Rattus norvegicus: one gene and its partner. The protein of the gene in region 1 purifies or fractionates together with the protein of each later gene. This does not show direct contact. Links are inferred from orthologs where the notes say so. Each region holds a gene or a part of one and is shown on either strand. Other genes may lie near its edges.

Region 1 (4,247 bases):
CCAGTCTCCAGTCCCCGGGCACAAGCGTGCATGGGTTCTCCTGCTTCTATCCCTTCATCTTGGCACCAGGGCCAACCACTTCCCAGCTCCACTGAGCTTCCTCCTCAGGAGATCCCACCTATTCCTCACAGGAGAACAGGCTACAGTGAAGAGGGAGCCAGAATCAACCAGCCATGAGAGGCTCGGGAGAGCTACCCTTTGACTTACAGCCGAGAATGACCCAAGCCTTCTTGACTTCAAAGCCTCATCCCTGGTCCTCCCCTCCTCCCCATGGGCCAGGAGAAGGGCAGCCCCTCCCCTCTCCTCTCAGGTGCCACCCCTGTGCTTACAGCACAGCAGTTCTTTTTCCAGTGTCACCGTTTGACAGTTGAATCAGAGAAGTGGGAGGAGGAGAGAGGATGTGGAATTCAAGTGCTGGGGCCCAGGAAAGCTTTTGGGGAACATTACAGAGTGAAGGAGTCTTGCAAGCAAGCATGAACCACAAACCAGTTGGGCTGAGGGCCAGTGAAGGGCCTACCAAAGCCAGGCAGGGGTGGGGGACTGTGGAGTCTTGAACTTGGAGACCGTTCCCTCCCCACACCCCAAGCATCCAAGTGGCCCTGTGGTGAAGAGGACGTGAGACGTCTCTGATGTGAGGGCCACAGCCTTCGACTATCTGTAAGTCTTCAGAGGAGTTACAGGGATCTAAGACACTCCCAGAGGGGTAGTCAGGGGGGTTCCTATGGAAGCAAAACCCAGAGTCTTCTCCAGTTTACCTCTGTTATTTATTCTCTGGTAACTAGCCTATGCCTGCAAGCTGAGGGACTGGGGGCCAGGAGAGGACCTTTCCTACCTAGCCCTGGCCTCTTCTTTTTATCCCCTACTGCACCTCTGTGACACATCTGCTCTCCTTGGGGGCCTGGGTTTGGCCATGAATTCCCAGGCTTTGAAGCAACAAGAGCTTACAGGGACAGATGCTGAGAAGTGGAAATAAGTCTCCAGCCAAGGTCACAACCAGAACAACTGAGGGTTCCCCATGGCTATCTTCTCAGTAAAGAGGACCTGAGGGTGGGGGTGAGCACACGACTAGGATCCGGAGGAAGGGGCCTGAGGTGGTCGGGGAAGGCCTCATCCCTTGTCCATTCCCAGAGCCTCAGCACCCAACGAGGATGGCAGGACAGCACCAGCTTGCTCTTGGAGGGCACAGGGAGGATGCACCCGACCCCTGGTGGCAGCTTGCAGCAGGCGCAGAGGGGCAGCCCGCAGCTGGGTGGTGTGCGTGGGTGGAAGCCAGGAGGGGCGGAGGGAGGAAGCTGGCTTCCTGAAGCCTCTCAGTCCTCAAAGATAGACGGACTGACAGACAGCTGGCAAGAGGCAGCCCTGGGGACATAGCTGCTTCAGTAAGTACTTTAAGTGGGTACAGACATCCCAGGACCCTGGGGTGGGAGGGGGTCTCCAAAGATGGGGTGAAGAAGCATGAGTTTGGGGCTCCCATGCCTGGCCAGGGCATGAGAAGTGACATCTGGTGTCCCTGTGGCTGGAGGGCAAAGAAGCCACACAGAGTGCCAGCAGAGGAGAGGCTAAAGGCCCCTTCCTGTTGTGGGCAAGTACTGTCCCAGCCACACCTGCACCGGCCCACACTGTTCCCAAACCTCTGTCCCTGTGGGTTAGCAGCTCTAACCCCACCACCATAGCACCCACGACCTAGCTCTGAGAGACAGGGACTGCCCCAAAGGTGATGCTCTCATCACCTCTATGGTCCCTCTCCCCTGCACCCCGAGCTGTAGCCTCACCATGCGCTGTCGCGCTCTAGGGCTTAGTGAGGCCATTTCCTGTGACGGTTACAGAGGCGGGAGAGTGGGGGATGGGAAGGAGGAGGGAGGAAGCACCCCTGGCCTACTGCCCTGGACAGAGACCCCATGAGCCACAACTGATCTTGGAGCGGAACTGGTAACTGTTAGAAGACCCTCCCAGAAGTGCATCGTGCCTGGATCCCCAACTGGCTCCAATTCTACTTGAGGCCTCAGTTTCTCGTTATAGAGAAGTCTATAGCTGGCTAGACTCAGAGAGCTGCCTTCCTTCTCTGTGGTTAGCAGGCTGCTGGTCTCATGTGGACCCCAGCTTAGAGCCCTGTGGTCTTGGGTATCCTCTCTCTTCCTTCTTCCGGATTCTTCCCTGTCTTCCCCCATACCTGTGCTCTCTCTATATCTTCCTCCTAGTCTAACCTCAAATTGTCCTCTGTCCTGCGTCCCAACAAAGAGCTGCTGTACTTGTGGGATAAAAGTTAGGCCACTTGCTTGAGGGGATGGCTGGCCTCCGCTTAGAAGCCTTCTTCTAGCTAGTGAGGCCTGTGGGACCTTGTCTTTCAGGCAGGCCTCATGGCTGAGTGAGCCTCCCTTGGGCCCAGCAACCTACCCCAGCATGGTCCAGGCCTGTGAGGGGCGCTCCAGAGCACAGCTGCCGACCTTGTCTTTGGGGGCAGACATGACTCAGCCTCCACCCGCCAAAGCTCCAGCCAAGAAGCATGTGCGGCTGCAGGAGAGGTGAGATCTTTCACAGAGAGGGTCTTCCTAGGCCTGGGTTGCCTTCCCTTCCCTTCCCTTCCTTCCTTTCCAGTTCTAACAACAGAATCCACAAGGCCTGGAAAAACAAAAACAAACCAAACCAGACCTAAGGAATGCTCATTCGAACGTTGCTTGCCCATTCTTTGTGTGTCTGAGGCACTAAGTTTCACGTCATCCCTGGGTCTGCTCCCTAAGGTTCACATTGTGATCTCTGGGACACATCTAGGGGCCTTTGTGGAGTTGGGCGTGTGTTGGAGCCTCTGTGCTGGCTTGCAAGTAGGAGAGAGAGACAGCAGGAAGGAGGAAGAGGGCTGCAGGCCGCTCTACTCTTATCTGATAAGGGAAAAGGGGAACGTAGTAGGGGCCTGACCCTTGAGTGCCCTGGGCCTCTAGGTCAAGAGAAAGACCAAGTGAATCCACCTCAGACAAACTCCATGAGGAGCTTGCAAGCAGAGCAAATGCTACGGGATGTTCACTGGGTTGGCTGTGCTTGCAGAAGGGGCTCCAGTGTGGCTCTGATGCTGGATGTGCGGTCACTGGGCACTGTCGAGCCCATCTGCTCAGTGAACACACCCCGTGAAGTCACCCTGCACTTCCTGCGCACAGCCGGGCACCCCCTTACACGCTGGACTCTACAGCACCAGCCTCCCAGCCCCAAGCAGCTAGAAGAGGAATTCTTGGTAAGAATTTGGGGTCCTCTCCATATCACTTTACGCTTCCATATCAGACCATGCTGGGTTCCTTGGGCCTCTCTTCTCCTTGGGGTCCTTGGGGAAGAATTCCGGGGCTCAGGAGAGAAGGTTGTCCCCATCTTGGCCCTTCCTCTCTGTGTGCAGAGGGTGGAATGGGAGAAAAGGAGGCTGGAAAGGGGAACCAGAGATTAACTCATTTATCCCCCCACCATCAGAAGATCCCCTCAAACTTTGTCAACCCTGAAGACCTGGATATCCCTGGCCATGCCTCCAAAGACCGATACAAGACCATCTTGCCAAGTAAGGAGCACAAGGGAGGATGAGGGGGACAGTGTCCCTGGGAGTGAAGAACCTTGGGGGCTGGAGAGATGGCTCAGGGGTTAAGAGCACTGACTGCTCTTCCAGAGGTCCTGAGTTCAATTCCCAGCAACCACATGGTGGCTCACGACCATCTGTAATGGGATCCGATGCCCTCTTCTGGTGTGTCTGAAGACAGCTACAGTGTGTTCATATAAATAAAAATAATAAATCTTCTTTTTAAAAAAGTTATACACCTTGAAGCCAGGCATAGTGGTATATGCCTATAATAACTCTAACACTTAGAGGTTGGAGTAGAGGATCAGGAATTCCAGGCCAGTTTCAGCTACATAGCAAGTTCTGGGCCAGCTTGGTTTATAGGAAGCCTTGACAAAACAAAACAAAACAAGCACTGATTAAAAACCACCTCTCCAAAGCCAAGGAAGAACAATGCTTGAGACACTGTCTTTCAACAGAGAAATACTAATACCACACCCTGGCACCTCGGAGATAGACATCTGTTGCCCAGTTGCAAGATAGCGTTTGCAGAAGCTTACTGTGGCTGCACACCCGTGTGGTGTGAACTCACACAGACAGACCCGGGCCTAGCACCTCCAACTTTTCCTAGGCAGGCTTGAGACCTGGAGCCTAGTCCAGTGGCTTCCAGAACTGTGGTCTGAATTCAGCCCAGCACATGGGTCCTACCCTGTGCTGA
Region 2 (3,808 bases), on another chromosome or scaffold:
TATCCTAGCATTCAGGGAGTAGAGGCCAGGATCAGAGAGTCGAGGTCATCTTTGACTAAGCTTGAAGTGACCTGGGCTACATAAGACTTCTCCTAGGAAAGAGAAGACAGAGAAAGAAGGCACCTACAATGCACGTGTGCCTTTCTAATCTCTGTCTATCTATACGGCTTCCTTCTCACCTCCTTCTATACGGCTTCCTTCTCACCTCTGTATTTTCTTTACATAGCAAGGAGTAGTGGGTGTGAGTGTGGAGAGGTTAGAGTGCGTGTAGGAGGCTGCGCTCAGTTTAGGCTGGTGTGGTCCTTCAGCGGTCTTTCCTGGATCGGTATGTAACACCCCACTCCCCCCAACCCCTTCTGTTTCTAGGTACCTGGTGACCCATCTCATGGGGGCAGACCTGAACAACATCGTGAAGTGTCAGAAGCTTACCGATGACCACGTTCAGTTTCTTATCTACCAGATCCTGCGAGGGCTGAAGGTACAGGCAACGACTTTGTCACTTATCACTCTTTCTGTGTCATAAGAACTTAGGACAGACGGGTTTTCTTATGAGTTAACGATCAATCCACACTGCTGCTCTTGTATTTCCGAGGCCACGGTTTACTAGAAAGCAAATGCTATGTTGTCCTTCCCTTTGATCCTTTAGTCTGACTATCTAAGACATGGGGACTTTAGCCACACTGAAAAGTTAGTAGCATCTTGATACAGCCTGATGTCCAATCAGTGTGATACTGAGGCTTTAAAACATTCCTTTGGGCTGTGCGCTGCTTTTATATTCCTACTCAGGACTTGAGAGGCAGAACAAGAAAAACCACTGTGTGCAGCATAAGGAGTGCCAGCCACCAGGGCTGGGGTGGGGGGTGTCTCCAGAACATCCTTTGATGTTAGCACATCGGAACCCTTCCTGAGGTCAGAGGAAGAAAACAGGTTGACAGCTCCATCCCGTAGGTGGAGTGGGAATCCTAGTTTGTGTGACCCACTGTGATCCTGCACAGTGCTCGATGACTGAGGGGAACACTGCAGGTGTCTCGATGAAGTGATATACCAAAAAGCTGAAGATGGCTTTCACTCAACCAACTTTGTTCTTTTTTGCAGTATATACACTCGGCTGACATAATCCACAGGGTATGTATCGGACCTTAGGTGGGGATCGTTGTGGTAGTGTGGGTGGGGCTAAAAGAGTGGCCTCTAGTTCAGAACTCGGCCTTAACTGGGAACTGAAGGTGGGTACTGCAGCACTGCTCTCAGTGTAGACCGGCAAAGGAGCACTTGCTGTTTGCCTGCTCAAGGCTAATCTGTGTCAGACTGACTGCAGCTGGAGCTGCCTCTCTCTCTGGCGCTCTTCCACATGTGTGCATTGATGCACTTTCTCCGCCTGCTTTCCAGGACCTAAAGCCCAGCAACCTCGCTGTGAATGAAGACTGTGAGCTGAAGGTAAGGAAAGGAAGAGGAGGTGCACTGTTGGCTTCCTCGGTGTTCTCAGGATCCCGACCAGCCTCCCTTAGAGAAAGTGATGCATAAGCCATGGCTTGCTGTCAGGAGAGTCATTTGCCCGTAGGAATGTCACACTGAAACTTGAAGTGGGCTGAGTAGGCTGTTTGAGTAACTTTGGAAGCAGACGTCGGTGTCTTGTTTTCATTTTTAAAAGATAATTAAATCAGAAATATAACACGTTAATTGAAATAAAGGGATATTATAGTCTAAATGTCAGCTAACCATTCCTGCAACACTCATTATTAGATAGGTTTCTGAAAGGAAAAATTGCAGCTCTTTGAATGATCTAATCAGACCTGAGTAAATTAGCGATCTTTTAAAGTAAGTAGCGGGCTGGAGAGATGGCTCAGTGGTTAAGAGCACTGACTGTTCTTCCAGAGGTCCTGAGTTAAATCCCAGCAACCACATGGTGGCTCACAACCATCTGTAATCGGATCTGATGCCTCTTCTGTTGTGTCTGAAGATAGCGACAGTGTACTCACACACATAAAATAAATAAATAATTTTTTAAAAAGTAAGTAGCACTACACTTTTTTTAAATGAAATTTTTGAAATGTATGCAGGGGGCTGGAGAGATGGCTTGTTGTCCAGCACTGCATGGCGGTTCACAACCATCTGCATCTAGAGGATCTGATGCCCACTTTCTTTGTGTCTCTGTGGACACTGCACAGACTTGGAGCACAGATATACATGCAGGCAACACACCCATACACATAAAATTGAGAAGGAAAAAATGGACCTCTTCATAGGGTTTTAATATCCATGTGTTGTAACCACAGTTGTGACATATAACCTCCACAGCTTCAAAAAGTTTGAGTGTCCCTTCCTGGTGACCCATGGCCCTCACCCTTCACCCAGTGCAGGCAGCCACTGACCTGATTCTGACTGTGGGATTATCTCTTCTTCATACAAATGGAGCTGCAGAATCACAGTTTGTAGGCTGCCGTCCTGTTAGTCAGTGGGCTCTTGCCACCGTTGTGGTTAAGCCTATTGGTTTAAACAGGTTTACGTAGGCATAAACCTACATGAACGTCCACGTGGGGACCTGAAGTAAACTAGCGGGGGATGGCGTGCTTTGCTTGTGGCTTCATTTTAAAGTTTCCCGGACTGCTTACCGTGCGTTCTAAGTGAGGACTGGGCTGCACACTTCCTGAAAGTGTCCTGCTTTTCTTGTCCTGAAGTGGCAGGACTTGCTGCCCCCACGTCCGACTTCTCCTCTTGCCCTTAGATTCTGGATTTTGGGCTGGCTCGGCACACTGATGACGAAATGACCGGCTACGTGGCTACCCGGTGGTACAGAGCCCCCGAGATTATGCTGAATTGGATGCACTACAACCAGACAGGTACTGCTCCAGTCGCCTGCCCAGGCCTGGCCTGGATGGCTTAGCCTTACTTCTTAGGTCTTCACGTCACGCTCTGTGACACTGCCTTAGGGGAGTGGACGCTTAATCCTAACACTACATCTCCTGTTAGAGTGCACAATTTTAACCAGTAACAAAGTTTTGCCCCTTTATGAGTTGCTTGTTTCTCTTAATTATATAAATTCTGAGTTGCACGGCCTGTGGGTCCCTTCTTGGGTGACAGGGTTTTTTTTGTTTGTTTGGTTGGTTGGCTGGTTTTTTTTTTTTTTTTTTTTTTTTTAAGCTTTGTTTTATGTACATGAGCGTTCTATCTGCATGTACACCAACAGGCCAAAAGAAGGCACCAGATCCCATTACAGATGGTTGTGAGCCACCATGTGGTTGCTGGGAATTGAACTCAGGACCTCTGGAAGAGCAGTCAGTGCTCTAACTGCTGAGCCATCTCTCCAGCTGTGGGTGACAGTTTTAATAAGTTTATTTCTATAAAAAAAAAACGGTTGTCAACCTTTAAGTGTCTTAAATGCTGATTTGAATCTTTCACGCCTGGTTAGAGTCCAGTTTGTCCATGACTATGAATAGAAACTGTGTCTCTGCTTGTCCCCTCCCTACTATTCCAGTGGATATTTGGTCCGTGGGCTGCATCATGGCTGAGCTGTTGACCGGAAGAACGTTGTTTCCTGGTACAGACCGTATCCTTTAACACGTTTTGGCCCTGTTTCTCATCTGTGTGCTGTCTTAGATGTGTGCTTCCCTTACTCGTTTGTGGGGAAGACTCAGTTCTTTGCAGTTCAGGCATTGCTTTTGAGGTCTGTCCTCTTGTTGAGTGGCTCACCTTGTCAAGAAAAGGCTTTGGGGGTTGAAAAAACACCTGTCATTTTTTTGCAGCAAGTCTCTCTATTAATGAGTTTAGTCTGTCCCTGCAAATCCTTGGCGAGTGTGCATAGCCACCTGTA

What was found.
Region 2: the proteins of Ptpn7 (region 1) and Mapk14 purify together in Homo sapiens (affinity purification with mass spectrometry; 3 studies listed by BioGRID and IntAct, with this or other methods). This does not show direct contact. The link is inferred for Rattus norvegicus from reciprocal best matches to the Homo sapiens genes PTPN7 and MAPK14.

Annotation. Positions count from the first base shown.
Region 1 is NC_086031.1:49,122,233-49,126,479, forward strand, and holds the start of Ptpn7 (tyrosine-protein phosphatase non-receptor type 7), read left to right. Parts: upstream 1-1,325; 5' UTR 1,326-1,379; intron 1,380-1,795; exon of another isoform or gene 1,796-1,843; coding exon of another isoform or gene 1,844-1,929; intron 1,930-2,348; coding exon of another isoform or gene 2,349-2,400; coding exon 2,401-2,522; intron 2,523-3,039; coding exon 3,040-3,223; intron 3,224-3,450; coding exon 3,451-3,535; intron 3,536-4,247. UniProt on the Homo sapiens protein: Protein phosphatase that acts preferentially on tyrosine-phosphorylated MAPK1. Plays a role in the regulation of T and B-lymphocyte development and signal transduction.
Region 2 is NC_086038.1:6,789,139-6,792,946, forward strand, and holds part of Mapk14 (mitogen-activated protein kinase 14), read left to right. Parts: intron 1-366; coding exon 367-478; intron 479-1,095; coding exon 1,096-1,125; intron 1,126-1,386; coding exon 1,387-1,434; intron 1,435-2,722; coding exon 2,723-2,837; intron 2,838-3,472; coding exon 3,473-3,544; intron 3,545-3,808. UniProt on the Homo sapiens protein: Serine/threonine kinase which acts as an essential component of the MAP kinase signal transduction pathway.